3 linked regions of the Saccharomyces cerevisiae S288C genome follow. The gene in region 2 interacts genetically with the main gene of each other region. Each region holds a gene or a part of one and is shown on either strand. Other genes may lie near its edges. The genes, in order: PRP3, YHR213W-B and CCL1.

Evidence for each region.
Region 1: mutations in YHR213W-B (region 2) and PRP3 together harm fitness more than expected from each alone (negative genetic interaction), as found in Saccharomyces cerevisiae (one large-scale study listed by BioGRID).
Region 3: mutations in YHR213W-B (region 2) and CCL1 together harm fitness more than expected from each alone (negative genetic interaction), as found in Saccharomyces cerevisiae (one large-scale study listed by BioGRID).

What each region holds. Positions count from the first base shown.
Region 1 is NC_001136.10:1,403,945-1,409,968, reverse strand, and holds PRP3 (U4/U6-U5 snRNP complex subunit PRP3), read left to right. Parts: upstream 1-4,114; coding exon 4,115-5,524; downstream 5,525-6,024. Other genes in the region: JIP4 (Jip4p), read left to right, coding at 1-2,505; TRAPP subunit TRS31, read right to left, coding at 5,796-6,024.
Region 2 is NC_001140.6:533,950-545,064, forward strand, and holds YHR213W-B (uncharacterized protein), read left to right. Parts: upstream 1-6,850; coding exon 6,851-7,150; downstream 7,151-11,115. Other genes in the region: YHR212W-A (uncharacterized protein), read left to right, coding at 4,793-4,996; YHR213W (uncharacterized protein), read left to right, coding at 5,202-5,798; YHR213W-A (uncharacterized protein), read left to right, coding at 6,600-6,833; YHR214W (uncharacterized protein), read left to right, coding at 7,702-8,313.
Region 3 is NC_001148.4:612,889-625,102, reverse strand, and holds CCL1 (TFIIH complex kinase subunit CCL1), read left to right. Parts: upstream 1-10,544; coding exon 10,545-11,726; downstream 11,727-12,214. Other genes in the region: APL4 (AP-1 complex subunit gamma), read left to right, coding at 1-634; YOP1 (Yop1p), read right to left, coding at 901-1,392, 1,526-1,576; YPR027C (uncharacterized protein), read left to right, coding at 3,845-4,678; alpha,alpha-trehalase ATH1, read right to left, coding at 6,089-9,724. UniProt on the Saccharomyces cerevisiae protein: Regulatory component of the TFIIK complex (KIN28-CCL1 dimer) which is the protein kinase component of transcription factor IIH (TFIIH) and phosphorylates the C-terminal domain of RNA polymerase II during transition from transcription to elongation after preinitiation complex (PIC) formation, thereby positively regulating transcription.

The sequences.
Region 1 (6,024 bases), on a different chromosome or scaffold from region 2:
AATGATGACAGGCGCAGTCTAGCCTCGATATTGGACTCGAGCAGTTCCGTCAAAAAGAAGGGGAAAGGCAGCAACGAAAAGTACCTACCATGCGTATCTTTCAACACAGTTCCCAGATCAAGGGTATCTTCGCCCTTAGATGAAGAGAAAAGAGAATTTCCTGGCGTGCAGATCTCTGCAGATTATACAATGGAGGAATATTATGACGACGAAAGTGGCTTTACCTCGGACAACAATGCCGACTACTTCTCCGGGAATAGCTATTCGAGTAGGCGAGAGGGCAGTGCTAGTCCCGGCAGGTATTCTTCTCCACCTCCTGCCTCTAAAAGAAACATCAAAATAGGTAAGATGTTTAAGATTTCTGAAAATGGTAAAATTGTAAGGGAAGACTATCCTACTACACCCACCGATATCAATGACGCTCTTGTGATTAGTAGGGCGTATGCCAATTGGAGACAACTATGGATCAAGAAGAAAAATCAGATAGATCATCGATTAGAACAAAAGCGCGATTTCTTCAATTACCCAACAATACTGTTTCCTCCAAACAAAAAAAAGTCGTCTGAGGGCGCTACTCCCACAATAAAATTCAATCCTCCCATAGAAGACGGCTTTACGCCTTTGACTAAGTCTCAAAAGCGGAAAGAGCGTGTTTTGAGCGAAAAGGTTGGGTTCCCGAACACTCCTCGAACGATATTGTGCCACATCAGCGGCAGGAAACATACTTGGGTAGCACTAGATTGGGCGCTACGAACTTTGATTCAAAATACAGACCACATTGTTGTGTTGGCAAACCTGCCCCGCCTGACTAAGAATAATTTCGAAGACAATGATTCGATGAGTGAGCGAAAAAGAATGCTAATGATGATGGATGATAGCAGGAGTGTTAGCTCAGCAAGAAGATCACGATCCAGATCGAGATCACGATCCATATGTACAAGAAGGGCACTTTCTCTGGGGCCTGAGGAATCTGACAACAAATTAAAGCACCAAAATTTTATCGAGTGGACATCTGGTTATACGCAGAACGAAATAGAACGTAAATTGCAAGATCTTTTTGATTATGTTACACTCATAATTCCGCAAGATCGTTCTGTCAAGGTCACTGTCGAGATCCTAATTGGCAAGACTAAAAAAACGCTTCTTGAGGCAATAAACATCTATTTACCTGATTTCTTTGTATCTAGCACTTTGAGGTGGGAGAGAACAGACAGCTTAGTTCGTTGGAAATCGAACTTTCTGACAGATAAACTGTGTACTAATTTTCCGATTCCAACGTTTATTGTACCGGCAAAGAGAATGTTCGATTTGGAAATAGATTTGCAAAAAGAGTTTAAAGAACCGGAGGTAACGAAACAAAAAAATACTAGCGGTCCAAAGCCTGGGTTCAGCCATTCTAAATCAGCAGATGCTAGCATTCCAACTATCTCAAATATCAAACGGAAGCAAGATAACGATTATTCTATAGATTCACTATGTTATGCCCCAGAAGCTAATGGTGCTAACAATAGTAGCCGAGAGGAAGCATCTGATGATGAGCTTAACGCTTTTAAGGATGATGAGAATGATGTGATGTCCGTGAAATCCTTAACCTCTAACATTTCGGTAAAGGAAAAGTTATGTACCATGGCAAGGAAACGTAGAAAGAGTATGGCTCAGCAGTTAAATGACGCCGATCATGATTCATCAATACCACCGGGACAGAGGCATTTGAAAAAACTGAATATTATTTTGGAATCTTCATTAAAGTTTTCATTAGAAATCGATAGCATCACTGATAGTATTGAAAATGGGGATGTAGACGAAAAGAGAGCACACTCTATGGAGTCGGGCTTTGAAGAACTGAAAAGAGTCATCACAGGTGGTGCTCCTCCAAGGCATGTGGCTACCCCGCAGAGGTCCATGCTTGATGTTTTGGACAATCCAAGTTCATCTAGATCCAAATCCAAGTCAAGATCAAGCTCTAAGTCAAGGATAAGAGACAAATCAAAACCAAGCTCTCCTACTGCTACCGATATAAACTCAAGTGCGAGTGCGTCGAGATCACGTTCTCCGCAAATCAAGTTCGCGTCGAGTGTCAAGAATGTAGATGGTAATGCTGCACTGGGTGCTATTAAATCTAGGCACTCGCTAGACAGCCCAGGGGACCAGCAACAACAACATCATCATCACCATCATCGTGACACAGATCAGTTGTCCGTTCCAGGCCTTCCCCATTTGGCACCTTCAAAGTCATATAGTGTGAGTTCTGGTAATAAGGATTCATCTTTGAGGAAAGTCAGTAGCTCATCTTCGCTCAGAAAAGTAAAATCTAATGATTCGAACTCTGGTAAACGTATTAAAAAACCGGTCGTAACTTCAGCACACTTGAAACCAAGCTCAGGCGGTGGTGGTTTATTCTCTTTTTTTAAGAGTAAATCGAGATCCCCGTCATCTTTCAGAAAGGAAGATGAGAGTAAAAATACGCCTAAGCGTGGCGGATTGTTTGGGTTCGGAAGGCTGTAGTTGGTCTTACGTTCTTATGTGTTTATTCGATATAATTCTATAACATTTTTATGACTTTGTGCCTTTATGCATAACATGTATTGTACATATTAATCGACAAAAATGACATTCAATACCCTACACTAGTAATTAATAATGCTGCAATTCCATCATCGCATTCTCACCTAAAAGAAATGTGGACAGTGTTCATTATAAGCTGGGTTCCTATTCGTATTTCCGGCAATAATGCGTGCTAAGTGAGTTTGTAAAATCGTTAAAATGAGAATCAATGTACAAGGTTAGTATCACGTCAATTCTTTCAAAGCTTTATATTATTAGGTATACCTCCTTTGAAAGTAGCACCAGTCAAGATAATGGATCTTTATCCATAGTTATTGCAATTACTTTCAAAGCAATGCGGTTGTTATTGTTGCAAAAATATTGCAATATTAACTTCTTAGGAATGGTGAATTGAATTGTGTCGTAACATACGCTGTAACCCTTGTCTTTTGGGTTTAGAATGCGGAAATGAAAAACGTATAGAACATGATGAATCTACGAAGTGCAAGGTCCACGAAACAAGACAGTATCGTTGCAATTCAGTGAAATCCTTAAAATGGTTCAAATATAGATACTGGCTATCTTTTTCATTATATTGGCTTCTTTGACCTGTCACAATTATAGGGTTCAACAGTTATCTTTGGAGGAAGAAGCTGCTCATTGATGAGAAACAGGATTTATGGAAGAGAAGTCACATTCGTGAAAGGCACATTCATCAAGAAATTTTATTTTTTCTTTTGTGCTTCCCAAATTTACTGCCATACTACTCCATTTTTTGACAGCTTATTCATTTAAGAATACGACCTAACAATAGTATTCCGGAACTTTTTAACAATATCAATGACGACTAAGAGAAAATGACAACTGCAGGGAACAGATTTTAGATTTGAAAAAGCCATGACATGATACTACTATGTTCTAGATGTGTTTTATCTCCTTTTCGGTAGCATTTTTTTGGTAATTATCTAGTACGAGAGGTGACAAAATCTGTTGTTCTCCTTTAGGTTGTCGTAGTCAACTTTTTTTGTAGGAAAATTCTTGCAAGTACCCTGAAGTTATGTATGATGCAAGTCTATTGATTGTAATCAATAAGTTTTTCTAGCTCTGGCTTGCTATGTAACGTAGTGAACAATCAATGTTATCGAAAAAGTTTAGGTAAAATTCTCGAAAATGAATGCTGATAATTACTTTTTCTTCACTCCCCAATTTTGGATAATACTTGGCAGCTATATTCGCGAAACAGGAAGGTTAAAAACTGCTTCTCCAATGAAACAGTAGTTAACATATCCATTTAGCTAGAGATACTGCTTTTGGCCTCTGGACAGGCACTGTGAATTGTTCTTATATGTTCTAAAGTAAAGAGCCATGACTCAAAGAAAGTTTCTTGACTATGTTAATTTTTTTAGCATACAAATTTTAATATTATTCACATCTGCGTTTTTCTGACTGGATCCCGCACTGATCAATAACAAGAAATAGTCCTAGTAAAGTATTAGAATGCCAGATGACGTAAAACAATCAAAAAGACTCACAGAAAACATCAGGCGATCTATTGAATTGGCTTGAAAAAATGCCCCCAAGAAATACCTATGAAAAAGGTAATCCGAAACGCCAAAATAGTCCATATTATAAGCCAAGTTTCTTACGGCGTGAAGAAACTACCAATGATGAGGAGAAGTTTCAGGGCCATGGTCTGAAAACCGAACTTCACTCAGCGTTAAAGTCTTCAAATTTGAATCTTATCCGAAGAACTTATCAAACTGGTGAAAATCCCTATCTTAGTGATCCACACGATCGAGGCTCATCGAGCAGATTTAACAGGCGTTATGAACGGGGTCTGAAGTTTTACCAAAAGGGAGAAATCAGTAAAAGAATTGCCCAAGAAAGAACATTACAAAAACAGCAGGAGGAGGAAGAATTAAAAAGAAAGTTAAAACAAGAAGAAGACGAGAAAGATAAAAGAAAATTAATTGAGTCAGGTGATTTACCCAATTTAGAGTTACATGAGGATAAGTTCCTATTAGATTTGTCAAAGTTCAAGATATACTATGATAATAATCATGGCTATGAATGGTGGGACACGGCTTATTTAGATGAAAAGGGTGAGTTGATGGAAAAATATGACATGAATGGCACATCGCCTGCCGAAGAAAAGCTAGCAGAAGATATTGATGAAGTAGACGATGATGATGATGATGAGCACCCATCTATAAGATATGTAGCACATCCCTTACCTGAAAAGATCAACGAGGCAAAAGTATCAATCAAAGCATATCTAACGCAACATGAAAGGAAAAGATTAAGGAGAAATAGAAGGAAAATGGCAAGAGAAGCACGGGAGATAAAAATTAAGTTAGGACTATTACCTAAGCCTGAACCGAAAGTTAAACTAAGCAACATGATGAGTGTTTTCGAGAATGATCAAAACATAACGGACCCAACTGCCTGGGAAAAAGTAGTGAAAGACCAAGTGGACCTCAGGAAGAGAAAACATCTGGAAGAAAACGAAAGAAGACATGAAGATGCTATTAAAAGAAGGAAAGAAGCAGTCAATATGAACGTTGAAAAGCCGACAGTATACCATTGTAAGGTGTTCCAGTTCAAAAACTTACAGAACCCAAAAATAAGATTCAAGTTGAAAATGAATAGTAAAGAACTATCACTAAAGGGTTTATGCCTCCGTATACGTGATGACGGACCAGGAATAATTATAGTCGTGGGTAACGAAAAATCATGCAAATTTTATGAGAATTTGGTGATGAAGAGGATAAAATGGAATGAAGATTTTGAGTTGCACACAAACACTGGGGATATAAAAATGGACATGCATAATAATTCAATATCAAAAACTTGGGAAGGCTATTTACAAGATTGTAAATTCAAAGGCTGGTTTATGAAAGTATGCAATGATCAGGATTCTTTATTACGTACGCTGGGTCAGTTTGATTCAGAGCATTTTTATTCACCTGTTCAAACGTGATATCGGTGTCTACAAAATGATACGCTTTGTTTCATATTAAATATTATTTTACTGTATGTCGCCCAGAATAATGATTTTTTTAGCACAAAAACATTCCAAAATATAAAAAGAAAATGATTTTATATGATAGATGTACTTCAAGGAAATCGACAATTAAAAGAATCATTCTTCGTAATGAATATATGAGCATATGTCTATAAATCAACAGTAAATATACAAACTCTTTATCCTTTTCTTGGTTTTAGGTATTTACCGATGTTTTGAGATGATATCAGCCAAATCTCAAACCTTCCCTGTCAAGCACTTGCCTGTCAAATTGGATCAAATAAACGGTTCGTTGACTATGTCCGCCTTGGGGCATTCGATGTGCTGTCACGCCACATGGAAATCCAGCATTGAAAAGGAATCCTTTGATAATGCCGCAAACGAAGTACTCACAAGAAACGTTCTCACCTGGGATAAATTGGGTTAAAGTGGGGAAGTTATCTACTATCATATAT
Region 2 (11,115 bases):
CATAAAAAAAAGGAGCAAAAAACTCAGTATACAGGCGAATATCCATCATACAGTCTAGCTGCCCTCACTACTTCCAAAAAAATGGGCTAGTGTTGTACGGTTTATGCCATATATCTAGAGTTAGCATAACTATGCACTACCGCTTTTCGAACAAAAAGTTTGCGAAACCTAGTTCATTGAATATGACTTACCCAAAATGGATACCAAGATCCTAATAATAAAGTCAATAACTTGAATTTTAGGTGCCATTATTTCCAACAATCATTATAGGCTAACTCTACCAGCAGACTAGAATACCGTTCTTCTAGTTGAGCACATGGTCAAAATAGTCAATAAAAAACGCCCAGAAATGGCTGTAAATTAGTGTTTGTAGTACACAAAATAATTTCCTAATTCCTTCCAAATGGGGTTTTCAAAAAGCTGACTCACGTAATTGATCAATACTTCACTAAAGAAGAATCATATGAATAAAACTAAAATCAACACTAACTGAGAGACTTAGCGGCCAAAGCTTAATCATCATTACATAGAGTATATGAAGGGAGTAAGTGAATATGCAAGGGTGGGAAACGGCAAAGCATTTTTATGCAAAAAGCGTATTTACAAATCCCGTAAACTCATGATGTGAATTTTGTAACCAGCTTTAGCTGAGATTATTTCTTTTGCAAAAGAAATATTCAATAAATTAACAATTTTCAAATAAATTACCAATCAATGGTCGATAACTTGCAAGAGAGATATCATCATTTGGCTTTTGTGATAAATTTACAAAACGTAATGTTGTATCGAGATATATTGAGTTACAAGTTTTCGTCTCTTTTTCCGAAGCGCCAGACTCCCGTATAAAAAATAAGGTTTATAGCGGGCATTATGCGTAGATCAGGACTTAAATTTTTCATTGCAGAAGTCCAATTTCAGACTCAGTATGGTTTGTTGTAGTGCTGGTGTAAAAGATGGTGTTATTACTTAAGACTGATTTGGTTGCTCAGGTATTTCATTCAATAAAATTGTGAAAGAGAACCTGGAATATAGAATGGAAATATATATCCTGCTACTAACCCCAATGGAAGGTGACGATCACTTCTTGTGCGTTCCAATCCCAGTTTTTGAATGTGCGAGTGGAAAAATTCTAGAGGAACAAATTGATATTTTCAAATCAGAATTCATCAAATATATGTACTCTGTAAAAACCAAGGATGTGATGAAGTTGAGATATTGTCTTTATGGGAAATTGACTTCTTTGTTTAATATGAATAATGCAATTTTACTCCTCAGCTCAAGTAGTGTAAAGATTCAGTAGCCGTCATCAAATAGACTAAAAATTAAAAAATAAGATTCAATGTGGTATGATAATGATAGATGAGAAGAAATTGCAAGAAAACGAATAAATACCTTGTCTCTTTGCACTGAATATCTTAAAGGACATACAGTCGCAATAACGTCTACTCATTGGTGTGTGTCAAAAACAGTACGTTTATTATCTGGACAGCCAAAAAATAAGATCTATTCAAACATGGAATATAGCGTATTTTTATTTAATCACGGTACAATGGAGATATTTGCATGCCTATAGAAACAAGTAATAGTTATCATATTATTTTCTAGATTTTGTCACTGAACTTTTCCACTAATGAATCCTATCAAAATTATATATCCAATATGGCTGCATTCCCAACTAAATATTAAAATGCCGCTAAGTATAAAATGTCTCCGCATCGGTAAAAAGCATTACAAATGCGTATTATACTAGCGAGAAAAAAGTATAAGTATCAATGCCAATCACCCTCTGACCATAAACTTTCTAAACATGAATAATAAAGGTGTTGAGAGTTATTATCCTAATTGATCAATTAATTTGAAGCAAAGTTATTATGTTAAAGAAAAAGGGATGTCACAATCCTAACTATAATTTTTGCACTATACTCTGTAGGCGTACAAAATGGTTTGTACCGACTATATTCTCTTTATTTTTGACAATCCTTTACGATATATGATTAAGAATACCATGTTATTTTTATGAAAATCTGTGATTTTTTTGTTTTCATACACTTTTTATTTTTGTCACGTAGTGCACTTTGATTAATACAAAAAAAAATGCTGCAAAAGCATCGACTACATAAATTCATTAGGACGCATTCCTCATTACCACCTGGGTCTAATTTTTATTTTGAAATTGATATTATTCTTTATATGATGAGGTAAAAAGCATTATATTCGTTGTAAACTCATATACTTATCCTCATTTTAGGCACCATCAGGGACTAAGGGCTAAAGTATCAGAGCCGCATTTCAACAGTGTACAGAGATTTTAGAAACATTATCACGCACTGCCTTTTGCTTTGTTTACCCGTAATGAGTATACAGTGGATTTTCTGGTGCTAAAGCATATTGCCCTTTCGGCAATACTTGATGCCCTAAACATTTTCATCCTGGAACATACGAGTAAGAGCACATTTATGTGCCTATATTCCTCGTTTTTTACTGGTGCTGAATTTCTTATTTTCCACAGATAACAATCATGTTAATAAATTATGCACTGTGCTAATTTTTCAATTAAGGTTCTATTACCCCTCTATCACCGACAGAAACACGTAATGATGTGTTATTTCCATTATAATTCCGTAAGAATGGTGTTTATAGGTAGTCTAAAGAACGTGCATCAGAGAAGAATGACTGTCGCAAAAAATGACTATTCTTTACCTTTTCAAACTTAACTGAGATAGTTATCTCTATTATTACCAGTGGCACACACGCGAACTACATCACTCACCACTATCGTCTTAGGAACTCAAGATTTTATAGTAATGCAGCCGAAGACATTCAAGTCCTGAGAGAAAATGTAGACATTTTAAGAAAAGTACCGGAAATAAAGCACATGTAAAGCATTGAGCTCTGTACTCTATAAAAATTAGCTGCATTCAAACAACAATGTTTGAAATTTTTGCAAAAGTTATTGAAAAAGATTGCTGTTTTCAGCCTTGTTCAGATCATGTCTCAAAAATGAGAAACTGGAACTCTCATAATCAGTACCTCGTATTTTTTTTTCCTTATAGTTTCGTTATTAAAAATTTTTTTGCTGCTAATTTAAGTACGCTTTTGGTCATAAATGCTACCCACCAGTTGAATTATTGACATGATTAAAATACATTTCAGAACTTTACGGATTAAAAACTTTAAAGAACCTTTCAATCCATGTTGCTGGAGGGCCATGAATCCACGAATTACAGCAAAAGAAGACAGTAACTACTTAGGGTTCAATAATTACTTGCATAAACACACACTAACAACCAAATCGTACTAAAATTTGCAATTAACAAAACTCCATCATATCACGCTGAATTATGTAGGGCTTCTTAATGCAATAGGTTGCCTGAATTTTGCTTACTCGTGCTGCCGGGAACACTTAGCAGTTGGGAGGCCGTTTCTCCCATATATTTCATAATTTTCTGTCCTTCTTAGAGTAGGATGCTGAAAATCAAAAGAAGACCGTCAATAGGACCAGATTTTGTGGGTCAATTTTGGGCCAGACACATGATACCCTAGGAAGTTTAACGGTATACAACTCAAGGACGAGGAGTATTCGGAAACTACCGGTTTTTAACAAGCTGCAAATTTCCAGTAGCTGTTTTGGTTGCGACTACGGATAAAAATTCATACTTTAGGAAGTGAAGCAAGATAAAAAATCATGCTGCATCCTAATTCGTGAAGTTTGTTAGGAATATTATTGTAAACAAGGAACCGTTTCAGTAAACTTGCTCTCTACTCTTCTAAGCTGTAATTTAAAAAAAGCGATAAAACAATGATTTTGATTATCTGCAACTTCTGGAAACTCGAGATACTACGCTAGACGAGATACCTATTAATTGTTTTCCTAAAAAATCAGGAACAGTTCCTGGCAGCTTTCGGCTCCTTCTTGTTCTGGAAAGGATCTTCAAATCCGCTTCCACGTAGCAGTCCTCGCTACGACTTCTTCTGAAGTATTTTGATTTTTGGCTGCATTTACCTTTTATTGCCGAAAATCTTATTTTCCAAGAAAAAAGCTTATTTTGCATTAAGTTTAAAAAATTTCTTCTTTCCCGTAGATTGACTTGCAGCGTCAAAATTCCGGAGGCCTCACGAGATTTTTTGACATCGGTTTTTGACATCTCTTTTTCCTTCCTTTTTCTTTCTTTTCCTGCGCACGCCGATAAAGAAGTAGTACAACAGACAACGTCAAAATGATCCTCTTGTGATGAAGCAAAAGAGGAAGAGTATACTCCTTTTCCGCTTGTACAAATATTTTTTTTGATAATAAAATTTGGCACTTCAGAGCTTATCGTATCTTCTCCCGGAGTTCCTCAAGACTTATACTTCAGCCCGTTTAGGAATGCATAAAAGCAAATAGGATTCGTTACAACTGCTGCAGGACTCTTTAGGACTGCATCAAGGTAAGCCTCGCTGCACCTAAACGCAAAATGTGGTTGTAACCTTTTTAATTTTTTTCTTGAACTTGTTGAGTCGTAATAAATCGTTTCTGGGAAGTGGAAGGTAATAATGTAATGGAATCGGCGTTACTCGCATGTGCAGATATCAGCGACAAAAAGTGTTGTAGGGACGTTTCGATACCAAAATTTCCTAAATACAGCGCAGGAACATCACTACGCTAAACAAATCGTAGCGCATACATCTGATCGAAAAAAGACAGTTCCCAAAACAATGACATATGAAGAGACCAGCATCAAAATTTTCATCATTAACAGCATGGCTAAAAGTTATTGTTTAATATACCCATACCTGATTGACGAACCAAGAAATGCCTTATCACTATTTATTTTTGGCACTCTTCACCTACCTGGCCACGTCCAATGTTGTTTCAGGAAGTACACAAGCATGCCTGCCAGTGGGCCCGAGGAAAAATGGGATGAATGTCAACTTTTATAAATACTCATTACTGGATTCAACAACGTATTCCTACCCGCAATATATGACTTCTGGATATGCCTCGAATTGGAATTAGGTTCCGTTGGCGGACAGACGGATTTCTCAATTGACTACGATCTTTCTTGTGTTATCTCTTCAGGAACTTTTAAATGTGCTCAATCAGATGCTTATGGAAACTGGGGATGCAGAGGTCATAGTGAATGTTCAAAATAGCCAAGAAAGACCTATTGGAGTACTGATTTACTTGGTTTCTTACTATCCCAAAAAACGCTACTCTAGAAATGACAGGTTACTTTTTACCACCACAAACAAGTTCTTACACGTTCAGGTTTGCTAAGGTCGATGACTCTGCAATTCTATCAGTCGGTGGTAACGTTGCGTTCGAATGTTGTGCACAAGAACAACCTCCAATTACATCGACGGATTTTACAATCAATGGTATTAAGCCATGGCAAGGAAGTTTGCCTGATAACATCGGAGGGACTGTCTACATGTATGCAGGCTACTATTATCCGCTGAAGGTTGTTTACTCCAATGCCGTTTCCTGGGGCACGCTTCCAATTAGCGTGGAATTGCCTGATGGTACTACTGTTAGTGATGACTTTGAAGGGTACGTTTACTCTTTTGACGATGATTTAAGTCAGTCAAATTGTACTATCCCTGATCCTTCAAAACATACTACTAGCATCGTCACAACTACTACCGAACTGTGGACTGGTACTTTTACTTCTACATCTACTGAAATGACCACCGTCACCGGTACTAATGGTCAACCAACTGACGAAACCGTTATTGTTGCCAAAGCTCCAACCACTGCCACCTCATCCAGTTTGTCATCATCTTCTTCAGAACAAATCACCAGCTCTATCACGTCTTAGCATCCAATTATTACTCCATTCTATCGCAGCAATGGAACTTCTGTAGTTTCTTCCTCAGTCATGTCTTCCTCGGTCATTTCTTCTTCTGCAACGACCTCCACTTCTACATTCTCTGAATCATCTAAATCATCCGTCATTCAAACCAGTAGTTCCACCTCTGGTTCTTCTGAGAGCGAAACAATCTTAGTGATTGCTGGCATGTCATTAGCGACAAGACGCTTATTACCGTAGTAGCCCCCCAAGGCAAACATCTCTTTATCAGTAATATCCAAAGCTGTTCAACTTCTCGAATTGGCCCAGGAAAAGAGCATTGGGGCGGCAACTAACTCTGGCATACTTACAGTTTCTGCTCTTGACAGCGCTAAAAAAGGGCTTGTTTTGTAATGCCCGGTTCGCAATTCTACAAGTACCACGCACTAGCTGCTAAAAGTGTCTAACCTTGCGAACAACTCTGGACTTTCTTATGAGAATCCCATCGTCAAGAAACAAAATTATACAGACAGGCGTAAATGTAGCTCGTAAGCGCCTGATCAAGTAAGCCAAATGCGCTAACTTGAGGAAATATAGCCATCTAAATCTCTGCAACATGCCAATTCGCACGTGACTTGAAACTATGGAAAGTGTCTAGAAGATTACCAAGAACCACGTTATTTGAGAGAGGATGGCAAGGTGACGACAATCACACCAAGACCACATTTTGGGTGCGCCTGGAAGCAAGACCTGAGAAACTGGGCCAAAATATTCAAACCAAGCATAAGATAGTTGGAGGTAGGAATACACTATCTAATCTGTGCTGATGAAATGCTGGCGAAAACGGGCGATGTAGTGGTACAGAAGGTGCCGGTTATCCGTTTGTCCGTTTTTCTTCATTTTTTTTTTGTTTTTCCCTTTTGTCTTTTGCACCGCTTATATATGGGTATGAAACAAGTTCAAGAATTTATAATGGAACCCAAAGGTTCAGTCTTTGTAGTTCGAGCGACATTGCGCGTTTCCTTAGAAAACGCTGGAAAGATATTCTTTAACGAGACGGAGTAATTCTCGTCAGGAATAGGATGTTGATTGATTTTTGCTGTAGTTATATAGCAGGGACCCACGGAAGAGAGCGAGCGCCTTCTTTCACAGGGACTTTTGTCAGCCACGTCTCCGCGGAAAACAATTGCCGTCCGCGTCGCAGTGAGATTACGCAGCCGTGCGCTTCAGGGACAGAAAAGAAGCATTTCGCGGCTACGGAGAAACAGTGCACTAACTCTCTCGAGGGTAGCCGCAAAGATTTCTTGTCTCTTCCATTAGGACATAGCTATCTTTTTCTTTTCTGTTTTTGGCGTATGATCTGTTCTGAGCCAAAGTTATAGAACATTGCTTGAATAAGCACCTCACAGAGTAGGGATTGTATAGAAAGTAGCTGAGCGTCTGCCCACGTAACAAACAATCTTGCCCCTTCCCCGCTCTTGTTTTCGCGTGCCTCTTCTACAATAATCTGGCCAGGCTAAATCGCGTTCTGCTGCTGCTGCTGCTATTGTTATTGTTGTTGTTGTTGTTTTGGCCAATTGCTTATGTGTTGGTCTGCAAATTAGCACCTCGTTCCCTGTTGGCAAACGCGCGCGTACAAGCCTTACAGGGCTTGAGAATGTTCTTCGTAGAAATGCATGCACAAAAATTTTGATCTAGCACACCATCGGTCTCTGTAGCTTCGGGCTCTATAGCTATGGGTTAGGAGTCCGTGAGTAGTAACAAGAAGAAGTATATAAAAAGCAGGTAAATCGTACTTCAATATGCTTCATTGTCACTGGATCGTCATATTCACTCTTGTTCTCATAATAGCAGTCCAAGTTTTCATCTTTGCAAGCTTTACTATTTCTTTCTTTTTATTGGTAAACTCTCGCCCATTACAAAAAAAAAAGAGATGTTCAATCGTTTTAACAAATTCCAAGCTGCTGTCGCTTTGGCCCTACTCTCTCGCGGCGCTCTCGGTGACTCTTACACCAATAGCACCTCCTCCGCAGACTTGAGTTCTATCACTTCCGTCTCGTCAGCTAGTGCAAGTGCCACCGCTTCCGACTCACTTTCTTCCAGTGACGGTACCGTTTATTTGCCATCCACAACAATTAGCGGTGATCTCACAGTTACTGGTAAAGTAATTGCAACCGAGGCCGTGGAAGTCGCTGCCGGTGGTAAGTTGACTTTACTTGACGGTGAAAAATACGTCTTCTCATCTGATCTAAAAGTTCACGGTGATTTGGTTGTCGAAAAGTCTGAAGCAAGCTACGAAGGTACCGCCTTCGACGTTTCTGGTGAGACTTTTGAAGTTTCCGGTAACTTCAGTGCTGAAGAAACTGGCGCTGTCTCCGCATCTATCTATTCATTCACACCTAGCTCGTTCAAGAGCAGCGGTGACATTTCTTTGAGTTTGTCAAAGGCCAAGAAGGGTGAAGTCACCTTTTCTCCATACTCTAACGCTGGTACCTTTTCTTTGTCAAATGCTATTCTCAACGGTGGTTCTGTTTCCGGTTTGTAACGTAGAGACGACGATGAAGGCTCTGTAAATAACGGTGAAATCAACCTAGACAATGGAAGTACCTATGTTATCGTTGAACCAGTTTCTGGAAACGGTACAATCAACATCGTCTCTGGTAACCTATACTTGCACTACCCTGACACCTTTACTGGCCAAACTGTTGTATTCAAGGGTGAAGGTGTTCTTGCCGTTGACCCAACCGAAACCAACGCCACTCCTATTCCTGTTGTTGGCTACACCGGTAAGAACCAAATTGCCATTACCGCTGACATCACTGCTCTTTCTTACGACGGTACTACTGGTGTCTTAACTGCAACCCAAGGTAACAGACAATTCTCTTTTGAAATTGGTACTGGATTCTCTAGTTCTGGCTTCAGTGTCTCCGAAGGAATCTTCGCAGGCGCCTACTCATATTACCTAAACTATGACGGTGTCATCGCTACAAGCGCCGCATCCACATCCGCATCCACTACCTCTGGTGTTGTCTCTACTGCCACTGGTTCAGTCACTTTATCCTCTAACGCTTCTACCACCGTCTCTTCTACGATCTCTTCTAGCGCCCCAGACTCAATAATTCCTTCATCTAGCGCCTCCATCTCTGGTGTCTCAAACTCCACTACAGCATCTGGTTCAATCGCTTCTACTGCTTCCACCGCTTCCACTACTTCTACTGCATCCGCTGCATCCGCCACCAGCTTCACCTCAGGTTCCGCTTCTGTCTACACTACTACATTAACTTACTTGAATGCCACAAGTACAGTCGTGGTTTCCTGTTCAGAAACAACCGACGCTAGCGGTAACATTTACACCATTACCACAACTGTCCCATGCTCATCTACCACTGCCACCATCACATCTTGTGACGAAAACGGATGCCATGTTCCAGCACCAACTGCTACCGACGCAACTGCAACCGTTTCCTCCAAATCATACACCACTGTTACTGTTACTCACTGTGACAACAATGGCTGTAACACCAAGACTGTCACTTCTGAATGTTCTAAAGAAACTGCAGCAACCACCATTTCTCCAAAATCATACACTACTGTTACCGTTACTCACTGTGACGACAACGGCTGTAACACCAAGACTGTCACTTCCGAGGCTTCCAAACAAACATCATTGGCCACTAGCACAGTCACCAAGTCTGCTGCTCCAACTTCTCATACTGCTGCTTCCAGCACCTTCACTGGTATTGTCGTTCAATCCGAAGGTATGGCTGCTGGTTTGAGAACCAATGCTTTAAGTACTTTGGCAGGTATTTTCATCCTTGCTTTTTTTTAAAATGAGTGCGTAACCGTACTTTCCTAAAAATAACTAAGTAGAAAGTATTTTAATATATAAACGTGAGATATATGTGGGTAATTAGATAATTGTTGGGATTCCATTGTTGATAAAGGCTATAATATTAGGTATACAGAATATACTAGAAGTTCTCCTCGAGGATATAGGAATCCTCAAAATGGAATCTATATTTCTACATACTAATATTACGATTATTCCTCATTCCGTTTTATATGTTTCATTATCCTATTACATTATCAATCCTTGCACTTCAGCTTCCTCTAACCTCGATGACAGCTTCTCATAACTTATGTCATCATCTTAACACCGTATATGATAATATATTGATAATATAACTATTAGTTGATAGACGATAGTGGATTTTTATTCCAACATACCACCCATAATGTAATAGATCTAATGAATCCATTTGTTTGTTAATAGTTTGAATGTTTTTATCGGAAGAGGTTTGGTCATTACGTCTGCAATATTCTTTTTGGTTTCGATATAGCATACGTGCAGATGATTTCCTGATACTTCATCTCTTAGTCTCATTGCTTTAGTACCAAAAAATCTGTTTCTAAATTTCTCTTCATTATTGGATATAATTATACTGATTGTAGATTTACTGTCGGTTAGTAATCCTTTAGTAATTGGTTTCTTGTTAAGTTCTTGCACAAGGTGACTGAGGTTATTTAATAATGGGACAGATTCACTTATCGCGTGTATTTCTGCTTCCGTAGTTGAAGTACATGTTAATGAAGCCTTGGTGGACTTTCCTCCAATTACCTTTCCATTAAGTAAATATATGTTGCCAATTTGTGACTTGTAATATGGTTGGTTACCATATGAAGCATCACTTATTGCGACTAGTTTATTATCTGGCTCGGTAGGTTTGTTTTTGTGCCATATCAGTTGTTTATCTCTAGTGTCCCACATGAATTGTATTAACTCATATGTCATGTCTAAAACTTGCCTAGAGGGGAATAGTATATGTTGAGCAAGTGTGTTGATGTAGTATAGTAAGTCAAATCTAAATTTATATCCAACATATGAAGCTAGACCAATCAACTTTTGCATTTCATGTACCTTCTCTTTGTATTCATCTTCATCTATTTCTAGTTCATCCTGGTCTATATAAAGACCTGGTTGACCTGGAGCGCTAAGTTTTCTTCCTTTTGGATTCAAAGGTACGTTTAATTTGGGTATTTTCTCAGTTAATGAGTTTTCCATACCTAATTTCATGTATTTACCTCTTTGATATTTGATTTCTAAGCCAAGTATGTCGTACTGAATTTCGTTATCACTTTCACCCAGATTTATTATCTTTGTATCGTATTGTTTCTTGAGTGTTGTTATGATTTTCTTATTTGCATTTAAGTCTTTGCTGAACAATATCATATCATCAACGAATAAGCAAATTGTTACTTGACTATTCTTAAATACGCATGACCATCCACGAACTTCTTCCATACCACACTGTTTTATCAGGTATGATTTGATAGTTTCGTACCAGTT
Region 3 (12,214 bases), on a different chromosome or scaffold from region 2:
GATCATTTTAGAAACAATGCCTAAATTTGAAAAAATTACCGAGGAACAGGATAATGGAAAAGCTCTATCGAAAAACCTTATCTCCAACGAACCAGTTGATCTGCTGTCAGATTTATTGGGTGAGGATAGCAAGGCTGAAAGCAAGGCTTCTACTGGTGACAATGTGAAACCAATTGACATATTAGAAGAGATTTTTGGAGAGAAGAATGACATTGCTCAGGTGCCCAAAAATGCGAACAAGGAAGAATCAATCAATCATTCGTCGGCAGTGGAGGCAAACTCAGGTGTCACCTTACCATTGGATGCCAACAAGATATATGACAGTTCCTCACTGAATGTATATGCTTCCTTGCTCTCTGCAAACTCTGGATTAGCACATTTGGATTTATATTTTCAGGCAAAGTCTTTAATATCTGACTTAAAAACTTTCTGTGCCGTTCCTAAAGCTCAAAAGCTAACACTAGGCCAGTTATATCCATCTTCCACAATAAACGCCAGCCAAATTTGCAAGCAGTCATTGAAAATTTCTGGATCTGGGAAACTGAAGTTAAGAGTTAAGTTGGATTTTCATTTAAATGGCTCTTCATCTATCACCAATGAACAGTTCGATCACAAATTCGATGAAACTCTATAAAAAATGCCTTTAAAATTACAGAACATAACATGATTAATGACCTTGCGTTGGATGGTCTGTCGCGCATATCAAGAGACACGTCACGACACAACACGATGAATAGAAATGCTATCTTCTGGGACACCATAAACGACTCCAAAATATTTTATATGTTAAGTAGCGATATATAACAACTAATAACATATGTACTTATATGCTCTCAATAGAATAGATAACAAAGAGAACAAAAACGAGAGTTTGATTTGAGGATATAGGTGAGTTGCCTCTTAATGAACAGAAGCACCTGTAGCCTTAGAAGCCTCATTGACGGAAGCTCTAATTTCATCCTTTTCTGTCTTGCTAACATCTCTTAGGATATATCTGTCGGTCAATGGGGCTACGATCTTTTGATAGATCATTCTAGCGCCACCAGTTTGAGGCAAGGCAATGTAGATTAAGAAAACGGTTTTCAAAAACCAGTAGAATGGAATCAAATATAGAATTGCCTTGGACCAGAATTCAATGACACTCAAAAATGAAAAGACAATCCAGTAGGTCAAGAGTTGTGTGTCATCGGTGGACGTTGGTGTCTTCAAAGCAACCAACGATAAATATGCTGGCAACACAAACCCAGCAAAATTGGAAAGAATTTCACCTACACCTCCGACGTTAATAAAAATCAAAAGGAGATAAGCGAAACCTAAACCAGCAACTAAATAAGATTTAGGCAAATTAGTTTTATTTTCTAATTGCTGTAAAATTCTATTACCAGAGTACTTCTGTAGAAAAAAATGTAGCAAGGAGGGTGAAAATTAGCTTTCTTGTTAGTATAACTGCTTCGGTTACGTGTGTCGGGTCATTTGGCTGTTTGAACCATGATGACGATGGAACCAATAAAACCATCTTACATACGGTATCGAATTGTTTCATTTGAGAGTGAATACTAGATGCATATTCGGACATGATTGGAGTGCGGTTATGTCTTTGTTTATTTGTTTTCACTACCAATTGCAATTTTAGATTCTTTCTTTCGGAATAACAAGCTTCAAGGGAATGTTTTTTAGTTTTAAATCAAAAAAAATTTTGAAGGACATATTTTTTTTTTTTTCGTTCAACCTTGAAAGGGGTTACGCATACTCCCTTTGACGTGGACAAGAAGAGAGAATAACGGCGCTAAGAAAGCGAACCACGAAAATTCGAGAATGGTGATAAAAAAATAAAGGTTAGAATGCCACACAGCCTTCCAAAGAGTGAATGAAAATCTTTTGACTTGATGTAGTTTTTTTTTTTTCAGGAGGAAGTTTAATCCGGATTGTGATTAAATCAGTACTGCCCCTCCAGCAGCCATATAACCTACTTACTGCGTAACTAGTAATTGCGCTCACCCATCCTATCTATGCAACTCTTCTGAAGGTCTTCTCAAGCACTTAATTTTTGTTTTTCAGGAGATTGACAGGGTTTGTCGCTTGTCTTGGCACTCATTCCAGCACTGATTGGGCAGCTAGTTTGAAGAGTTGCACCAATAAATTAGAACCTCATTAAAGTCATGAATGGACGAGCAAGTAGCAAGTCTTATAAATACTTGAAAACGTGCATGTGATGATGGCATCGCTCCCTGTTGAATTTCTTTTTTTCCGTTGGAAGGTGCACTTGTTGAGCGCATTAAAGTTTTATAAAGCATAGTATTCAGGCTCAAAATAAAAGGGGACAAAACAAAACGTGCCGGTGAAACATATATGTCTTGAGAAAATTATTATAATGTTGTCTTCGTCTCTTACTTTTAGAATGTACTCTTTAAAAGTTAGACGCTTGGACCATTTATAAAGCACAAGAATGCTTGTTTATTTCATTCTGATATGCGGATTTAGCTCAGTTGGGAGAGCGCCAGACTGAAGAAAAAACTTCGGTCAAGTTATCTGGAGGTCCTGTGTTCGATCCACAGAATTCGCATTTATTTTTTCGACCTGCCAACTGCGGAAAGTTGGTTCTTGAACTTGACTGCTCCTTCTCTTATGGAAATATCAATGAAAATATAGACTCAAGTAGGAAGATGAAGGAGTTTTTCAACTTGAATGTCTGACTTTTTTTCAAAATTTTCTTACGCCATTGGCCATCTTTTAATGTCTCCAACAAAAAACCAATAACGGATAATCAATATAAGCGTTGGAAAAGAATTTATCACGGCCAAAATTGTTCCCGTTAAAAGTTCGAAGTTTTAGGGACATAAATTTGTCTAAAACTCATGGAAGCACACTTTGCTTCCATTACGTATTGTATAATATTTCCTACTATATCGTGGACTGATACTTTCTTGAGATATCTACATACTTTCTCCGTCAGAGTCAGTCATCCCACCTCAGAGTTTACTAAAAGAGGTCAAAAAGAGGGAAGCAGACAGACTAAGGTAGATGTCCAAAGTTGACAAATAAATATCTGGCTCCACAGTTTTTCAAAATCTCTTGATGATCCCTTGCATTTAAAGGACCGTTATTTGCCGACTACGGACAGAGAAGTTAAATCTGAAAAGAAATGAAAGAAGTGTACAATGACAACAAAAACGATGAAGTAACGTCTTTTTTTTTTTTTGATTACTCCCAAATTCAGTTCCCCCGTTCTTGAATTGGACTACCGATGTTTATGAGCTGGGCATTTTCTCAGGAATTATATAGTATGTTAAGTGTGTAACAAATTGAGATGAATATATACGTGCTGGCTTACGCATTATGAAACACACTAGTAGAATAAGTGTTTCGGATGGGAAGTTTATTGATACTAAACCTAACGTGTCTTCCAAACGAACAAATAATAATGTAGGTTTCAAATTATATCAGCGACTAACTTCGGCGGCTATATGGACAGTCACTAAAGTGTTTTGAAGATGTTTTCTTTCTGTGGTCACGACGGTAGCCTCAACTGCCTAGAAATTTACAAAACAAAATAGTTTACAAAATTAAAGCACTTTTCAAGCGCCGTGCATATTAGTTTTTGTGGTACTGAAAGTTCGGTTACATGATGTGCGGCAAACAACTTTTTGATGTTGGCTAGCAGATCGAGATTCTGTTGATGATGGCAACGTTGAAAAAGCGTTGATCACAAGAATTAGAAAGTACTAATTTTCCATTACTTCTAACTAAAGAGGGAATTACCATTAGTGTAATTCACAAACATTTGTAAAAAAACAATCATCATAACGTACTATTCATAAACATATAAAGCGCCAGATAAAAAGAAATGGTTGGTATTTACAGAATACTTGCTTCGTTCGTCCCACTCCTGGGTCTTCTTTTTGCATTCCATGATGATGACATGATAGATACTGTTACAATCATCAAAACTGTATATGAAACGGTGACATCAACTTCTACTGCACCTGCACCTGCCGCTACAAAATCTGTTAGTGAAAAGAAACTGGATGACACTAAACTAACACTTCAAGTAATTCAAACTATGGTATCATGTTTTTCTGTAGGTGAAAATCCGGCCAATATGATATCCTGTGGGCTAGGAGTTGTAATCTTAATGTTTTCATTAATCATCGAGCTTATCAACAAGCTCGAAAATGATGGTATCAATGAACCGCAAAGGTTATATGACCTAATTAAACCAAAATACGTCGAGCTACCTTCAAATTATGTGAATGAAAAAATCAAAACAACATTTGAACCTCTCGACCTATACTTAGGAGTAAATATGAATACTTCAGGAAGTGAACTAAACCAAAACTGTTTGATTCTCAAACTTGGCGAGAAGACGGCTCTGCCTTTCCCAGGCTTGGCCCAGCAGATTTGTTATACAAAAGGCGCTTCAAATGAGTTCACAAATTATAAATTATCGGACATACAGGGCAATTTAAACGAAAACAGCCAAGGAATTGCTAATGGCGTTTTCCAGAAAATATCAAACATTAGAAAAATATCAGGTAATTTTAAGTCTCAGCTTTATCAAATTTCAGAAAAAATCACCGACGAAAATTGGGACGGTTCTGCTGTAGGCTTCACTGCTCATGGGAGAGAAAAAGGCCCAAACAAATCTCAAATATCGGTTTCATTTTATAGGGATAATTAAAATAATTCTCTAAACTTTGCTATACCTTATTCGTTGTTGATAAGTACACTTGTCCCATTTCCAGAAATTTAATTATTCAAGTCTTTAGCTTCGATAGACGATGTACTTGAAAAATTTATAATCGATATAATTTTCTCTTCTGATTTTTTCACTCTTTTTTTTTTTTTTTGTACTATAGTAGGATACTCAGGGAAAAAGAAACCACTGCCTTTGAACAATGTTGCGAAACCAATTGATTAGTGGGCTACAAGAGTGTAAATAATGAAGATCTTTCATTTTTTGTAGGAATGCGTTTACTCTGGCGTATCTTTTGTAAAGGTTTGTTTCACCGAGAAAGGAAAAAGCTCGGCAATTGGTTTAATCTTGGTTGGATTGTAAAAAAATACATTAAAATTTAGGTTCTACCCCGCAGTGTTTGCTTAATTTACATAGGACCCTTTTCCTGCCGTTTTTGTTTTGTAAGGGTGAGGAAAAACTGGGGACGATGAAGAGCAAAAAAGAAACGAACATATTTGTGAATACATTATACACCTGAAGTAATAAATTTGTGGGGGACGTCATTTAAAGCCAAAATACTTCTTAACACACAATTACTATAAACTATTCCTGTAGATTAGCCCACCCCACCTTGAGAAAACCTTCAGGATACCAAATGGCAGGACCCAACTAACACAAACTCATTTTCTTCAATTTATACAAAGTACGTTTTTCTTTCGTGAATAGTATATAGAGCTTTAAATATTTGCCTAGTAGGCTTCTGTATTTTCAGATTGGCGCTACATCAAGTTACCTCTAATGTATTGAATCTAGAATATAAAAATGTATGCAAACATTATCGTTGCAAATTTAATTTAAGTTGCGAGAAATTTAGGAATATTTCTGTTCAAACCCTACTGACGAGAGAAGAGCCAATATCAAATCTGGTGGTAATCCCGATGGAATCAGAATCGTCTAGTAGGAATTTGAAGTCTATTTTTTTAATATGGACTCATACAAAAAATTAGAAAAGGCGCCAATTAAAAATGTGCAATCAATGTAATGAAAGAACTGATCTCAATGGCAGGAAGATCAAATTGGTAGGTAGATCATGTCTATATAATGCATGTGAAAATTTTATAGAAAACTGTTGTGGGCTCTGGAAAACAGGCTGCTAAACAGTACTTAGTGGAATTAAAGTACGCTGGTGCAAAAGACCAATTTCAAGGTCACTACTATATAAGGTGCAAAAAAAGCTTGTAGTAAAAATTATTGCTCCTAAATGTCACCCTATAGAAAAAAAAAAGCTTTTATATAAGCATGCATGATATTTTCAATATAGTGCCTTTAAAATATATATCCTACGAAAAAATTGGTAACTTTTATCCAAACTTATAATATTAAAAAAAGCGCTACTTATATGCATCATTTCATTTAATCATTGAGAACAATTTCCTTGATTGTAGCTCCTTTGTTATCATCATCATAATCATCATACACTCCTTGTACTGCCACAACTATGTATCTTGTTTTCCTCCAATCTGTGTTCCCTTTATCACCCACCTGCAATTTATCATAATCAATAGTGAAAGTCGTTCTATTACTGGGTAATATCTCGATTAACGACTGGTTGCGACTTGCTTCGTAGTATGGCTCACTTGGGCTCACTGGCACGTTATCCAGAATTTTCACAAATTTTCTTTTTAGAAAGTTAAGTCTGGGTATTTGTTCAATTAGCTTGGCTAAGTCTTCCTTCTTCCAGTGCAATAAGGCTTGCACATCATCCAAAGATTCATCATCCTCTTGTTCTATGCCATCAAAATCAATAACGTTCTCGACAGGAATTCCGGCATTATCTAAAAGCTGACCAATGGTTTCATTAAGAAGTTGATCATTTCCCGAATTTTGCATAATTTCTGTCACGTTCGCAAATAAATTTTCGACTTTTTCAGAATGAGGCAAAATAGATATGGAAATGTTTTTTGCGGGCCTCTGCCCCCAAAGAATCATTCCCTTGGTAATCTCTTTCTCGTTGTATTCACCTAAATCAATCAATAGCTTCGCACGGTGAATTTTGTCTAAGGGTTGCCAATGCGTGTAATTATTCCCATCTAGAGCAGAGAATGCAACGTCACCAGGAACGCCGGCCGTCAAGTTTGTTATTTGCTTATTTTCCGCTATGTTGTTTCTTGCGTTTAAGCCAGGCTTGAACAGTTGGACTGTAAGCTCTTGTTTCGGTTTTAAAAGATAATAGGTACCATACCTATCCATCCTCATTGGATCACCAACACGGTCGACGTCTCTACGCTCTAGATTTGGTTTTCTTTCGTTTTCGGAACCATTATAGAAGTTGATATCCTGGTCATGTATTAGAGATCTGTTTGGTATCTTTATATGAATAGGAACATCTCCTGATTTATGAACAATCGTACCATTGTGGTCGTCAATTATTATATCTAAAACTTGGTTCATATATTTGAAGTTTCTAATAGCGATACCACCAGGGAGCAACGGTAGTTCTATTGGATTGAACCTTAACAAACGGTTAATTTTTTTAGTATCTGGATCAACCTCATAAGAATATCGGATTCCTGTTAACCCAAACAGAATGCTCTGTAGAAATCCACCGTTAGCTGTTAAAAAGGGGAATGCTGGCTGGGTTAATCCGTTTGTTAAAAAGTTGTCGTCTGATTGCTCACTAAATTGAGCGAAAGGAGCCCGTAAGTATGGAAGAACCGATTTATATAAGTAACTTTGAGAAGAAGAGCCGTGATTCAGCAGACCAGCAGCTGCGGCCACAAAAACCGGATATGTCATTGCAGGCCCAGACGCAGACTGTCTTTCTGAATAATAATAAAGATCTTTAATTGCATTGTTCAATATGGATTCATCATTGATATATCCAAGTGGGTAAACCATTAAAGTCACATCCGCCTGTTTAATCTCCACTGAGCTATTCATACCAGAATATTCCAAAGTGATGTTAGATGAGGATCTAGGGATATAAATATCTTTGGAAATTTCACTCCATTTGGGGTCAACGACCTCGCCGAGATGATTGCCAATGTCTGTTGCCCACTTTAGAAGTGTTTTAATGCCAGCATTCGTGAAAGCCCCGTTATTGATGTGATTAGCAAACTCGTCGGGATCTGTCAAATTATATGTTTCATACAATCCTAGGGAAGAATTGTACTTAACATAAGCAGTAAAAAATTGGGCTGCGTTTTTGATAATTGGCCATGTAGTATATCTCAGATACTCGTCATCAATCCCTTCGTGTCCATTCAAGTATATGGAAAAGGAGGCCATAGCGACATCAACGTTAATATGGTATTCGTAATCGACACAAGGTCCCGTAGAAGTACAATTAGCGTACTTACCAGATGTCCAGGGGTATATTGCTCCGGGGTATCCATATTTCTCTGCATTTAACTTTGCCTGCGAATGTGTAGCATTTCTGTAATTATTCATATTTTGAGCCACATTTGGGAAGAAAGGCAATAGGGCAGGTTCCATCCATATATCTGCGTCCCAGAACACCATACCACCATAGGAATCTGATGACAAACCAGAAACTCCCACGGGAAGACCCCTATCGCTCGAGACATTGTAATCTCTTGTATTTGCTAGTAAATGGAATAGGGACGATCTTGCTGTCATTTCTAAAAGACTGTCAGAAGGAATTTCAATGAAGGCGTCGTTGTAAAGGTCATACCACGCACGTTTGTGACTTGACAGAAGCTTCTCGTAATTGCCTTTACTGTTTAGAGCTATCATTTTGGCCAAACCAATATTAGTATTGTCTTGTTGTTCTTTGTTCTTATTGAACTCAGTAGACATAATACCAACATACTTATGAACGATTATCTTGGGTTGGTCCTCTGTCAAAATAACATTATAAATATTAGAAGAAACATCTTTTTCTTCAAAAGATTCACTAGAATTTATTGGATTGGTGGAATTTTCATACTTTACAGTACACGTTGAGTAAATAGCGCAATTAGAAGATGGAACGTTATCTGGCTGAACAATCATGAAAACCGCATTATTTTTTTCGTCTGTTCCCGTGCTATGTAGAACAGTCCTATGTGATGTGTTGAAATCAAGTATATCCCATATATTAACATCTAATGAATCAAAATCCGAAGGTAAATGGTCCGTATTCAGGGAAATTTCCAAAGAAACCACTCCCAGTGGATGAATGTGCCGATGTGCCCAGATTTCACTTTTAACATGTATTTGACTGTTTAGCCAATCTAACTCCGTAGTTACGATACCATCCTTCATTGATAAGTTTTGGCTATAATTAGTTACGTCATCCAACGTAACATTTTGTGGATTGAACCACTTAGAATCATTCACTAATGAGAACTGTAGATTGGTCCATTGTGGAATAGATGAAATGACAGTGGAATATCCTACATCATCCAATTCTGGGAAGTTTGTTGAATTTAGTTTTGGTTGTAGACAATAAAAGTCCGATACAAACGCACCGGCAAATCTATGATTTCTTAAGGGCCAACCGTTATTCAAAGCGCCTGGTGCGTCTGTGTAAAAATTCAGGGTGTCTAAGGCATAGCCGAACCCAATATTGGGAATACGACTACCTATATAACCGTTAGCAACATATGGTTGTCTCGAGTATGTATTCTTTGAGAACAAGTTACTTCCCAAAATCATGTTCTCATCATCATAATATGCCGTGTTGAAATCAGAAAGGAGTTCATAAAGTTTTTTAGAAGATTCCCTTGCTTCTGGATCGTAGTTCAACGTATGATTTCCCAATGACGGCGATATCACACCCAGAGGGTTAAATAGGGCAGCCCTCGAGGCATGTGAGTATGTAAGCCTGGAACTCTTTGTTAAATATAATGCAGTGACGAAGATAGCTAATAAAAATAGCATCATCAGTAAAAGTATAGAGTTGATCAAGTCAAACCTTGAGAAAGAACGATAATTTTTAGAGCGAGAGTTATTACCGGTACTATTTTTGTTCCTCAAACTAGGAGAATTGTTAAGGTTTGAATAAGAAGCCTCCGCATTGAACCAAAGCGATCTTATTCTTTTCATTATTGGAATGAGGAAATTTCGGTAAAAACAGATGCAATATTAGGTGATACTAGCAGGCTCTCATAAAGGACTGATGAATCCTTTTTTAAGGAGCAATAAGATTCTTTTTTTTTTTTTTTTTACTTGAAAAAAAGGGAGTGGTAATATGGTGAAAAGTGGAGAAATTTTGTTATTATTATTCAATAACGACAAGAATTCTCTTTCCGAATATAAAAACGGCGCGGCTGTTGGTTTGTCGTGATACGTAGTGCTTGCTTGGACTTGGAAGTAAGACTATACCAAAAAGGAAATAAATTTTGAGGGGCAAAGAAGAGATGCTTGTACTGCCTTGCTGACTCAGATTGTTCGTTGATTTTGCTCAACTTTCCGCTTGCTTAGAGTGAACGTGATAGCTTTACGGCTAGAATCAAGATGAATGTTCCTTTCTTTTTCCGAAGTATTTGCCCTTATTGAAAAAGAATGATAAGGGATATACGAATAGACTGGTAAATATTGTAGATACACTTGTTTTTAGTGAAGCGAGAATAACAAAGCTTCAGCTAGAGACGTGACGGCTGAGAGGTGACCTGAAAGAAAGTAGTTATTGCTGGCTTGAAGAGTGAAATAACCTTGGTACAGACTTTGATAGCACGAACTGTTTGCCATCCAGAGAAGAAAGGGCCTCTCATTTCCTGCGGTATCCCTTCGTTGTTTAAGCCGTTCACAATCCGGGTAATAAATTTGATCTTAACACAGTTTTTATATTAAGAAAGATCTCAAACAAATGAGTGAATATTAAGTTTAAGAGAGGAAAATACTGTGCTGCACAGATATTGATAGAATGACGGATATTCAACTAAATGGAAAGAGTACATTAGATACTCCTTCTGCTACCATGTCAGCAAAAGAAAAAGAGGCAAAATTAAAATCGGCTGATGAGAATAACAAGCCACCGAACTACAAAAGAATTTCTGACGATGATTTATATAGGCACTCTTCTCAGTATAGAATGTGGTCATACACTAAAGATCAACTTCAGGAGAAAAGGGTAGATACCAATGCCCGAGCGATTGCTTACATTGAGGAAAATTTATTAAAATTTAGAGAAGCACACAATTTAACAGAAGAAGAAATAAAAGTACTAGAAGCAAAGGCTATCCCTTTGACAATGGAAGAAGAACTCGATTTGGTGAATTTCTACGCAAAAAAAGTTCAGGTAATAGCACAGCATCTAAATTTGCCAACCGAAGTAGTGGCCACTGCGATATCCTTTTTTAGGCGTTTTTTCTTAGAAAATTCTGTTATGCAAATAGATCCTAAAAGTATTGTACATACTACTATCTTTCTAGCCTGCAAATCGGAGAACTATTTTATTAGCGTGGACTCGTTTGCTCAAAAGGCCAAATCTACTAGAGATAGTGTTCTCAAATTCGAGTTTAAGTTGTTAGAATCATTGAAATTTTCACTGTTGAACCATCATCCTTACAAACCGCTTCATGGGTTTTTCTTAGATATCCAGAACGTCCTTTATGGTAAGGTTGATTTAAATTACATGGGCCAAATATACGATAGGTGTAAGAAGAGAATAACTGCCGCATTATTAACCGATGTCGTATATTTCTACACTCCACCCCAAATAACACTAGCAACATTATTGATTGAGGATGAAGCCTTGGTCACAAGGTATTTAGAAACAAAATTTCCCAGCAGAGAAGGTAGCCAGGAATCAGTACCGGGAAACGAAAAAGAAGAACCACAAAATGATGCCAGTACAACTGAGAAAAACAAAGAGAAGTCCACAGAGAGCGAAGAATATTCGATAGACTCCGCGAAGTTACTAACCATAATACGCGAGTGTAAAAGTATTATTGAAGATTGTAAACCTCCGAGTACTGAAGAGGCCAAGAAAATTGCGGCAAAAAACTATTATTGTCAAAATCCATCAACACTGATTCAGAAATTAAAAAGGAAGTTGAATGGAGAAGATACTTCGTCCACCGTTGAGAAAAAGCAAAAAACATGAAACAGCTCTGTTACCGTAGGTTTCTGTTTTATATATATATATAGATTAAGATGCATAGGTATATAGACCGGCGCCATTTTATATTATTTCATGCCATGAATATATACTGCAAAAAATGTGACAATGAGTAAATTGCTAACTAGCGCTACAATGTGATTATTTTTGCTACACACGTTTATCCATTGAATATTCTATTTACAATGTATGGCGTATTGATACACATGTACCTATATATATCAACAAGTGCTTTTATCTTAACTTTTATGAAAGATTAATGATTGGTTTAATCATCAACGATACTCCGTTCCATGGTGTGACTTTTTTAAGGCTTGTCACTGGGGGAAAGCGACGGTTGGTTAAGGGATGAAAGAAATTAATAACCCACTTGCGATCATCGGTTATCCTGAAGTATTTTGTCGCAAATACCCAAGCTTAATGCCTCTTTTCTTATCACAGAAATAATATTATAATTTCTCCTTACGAATAAT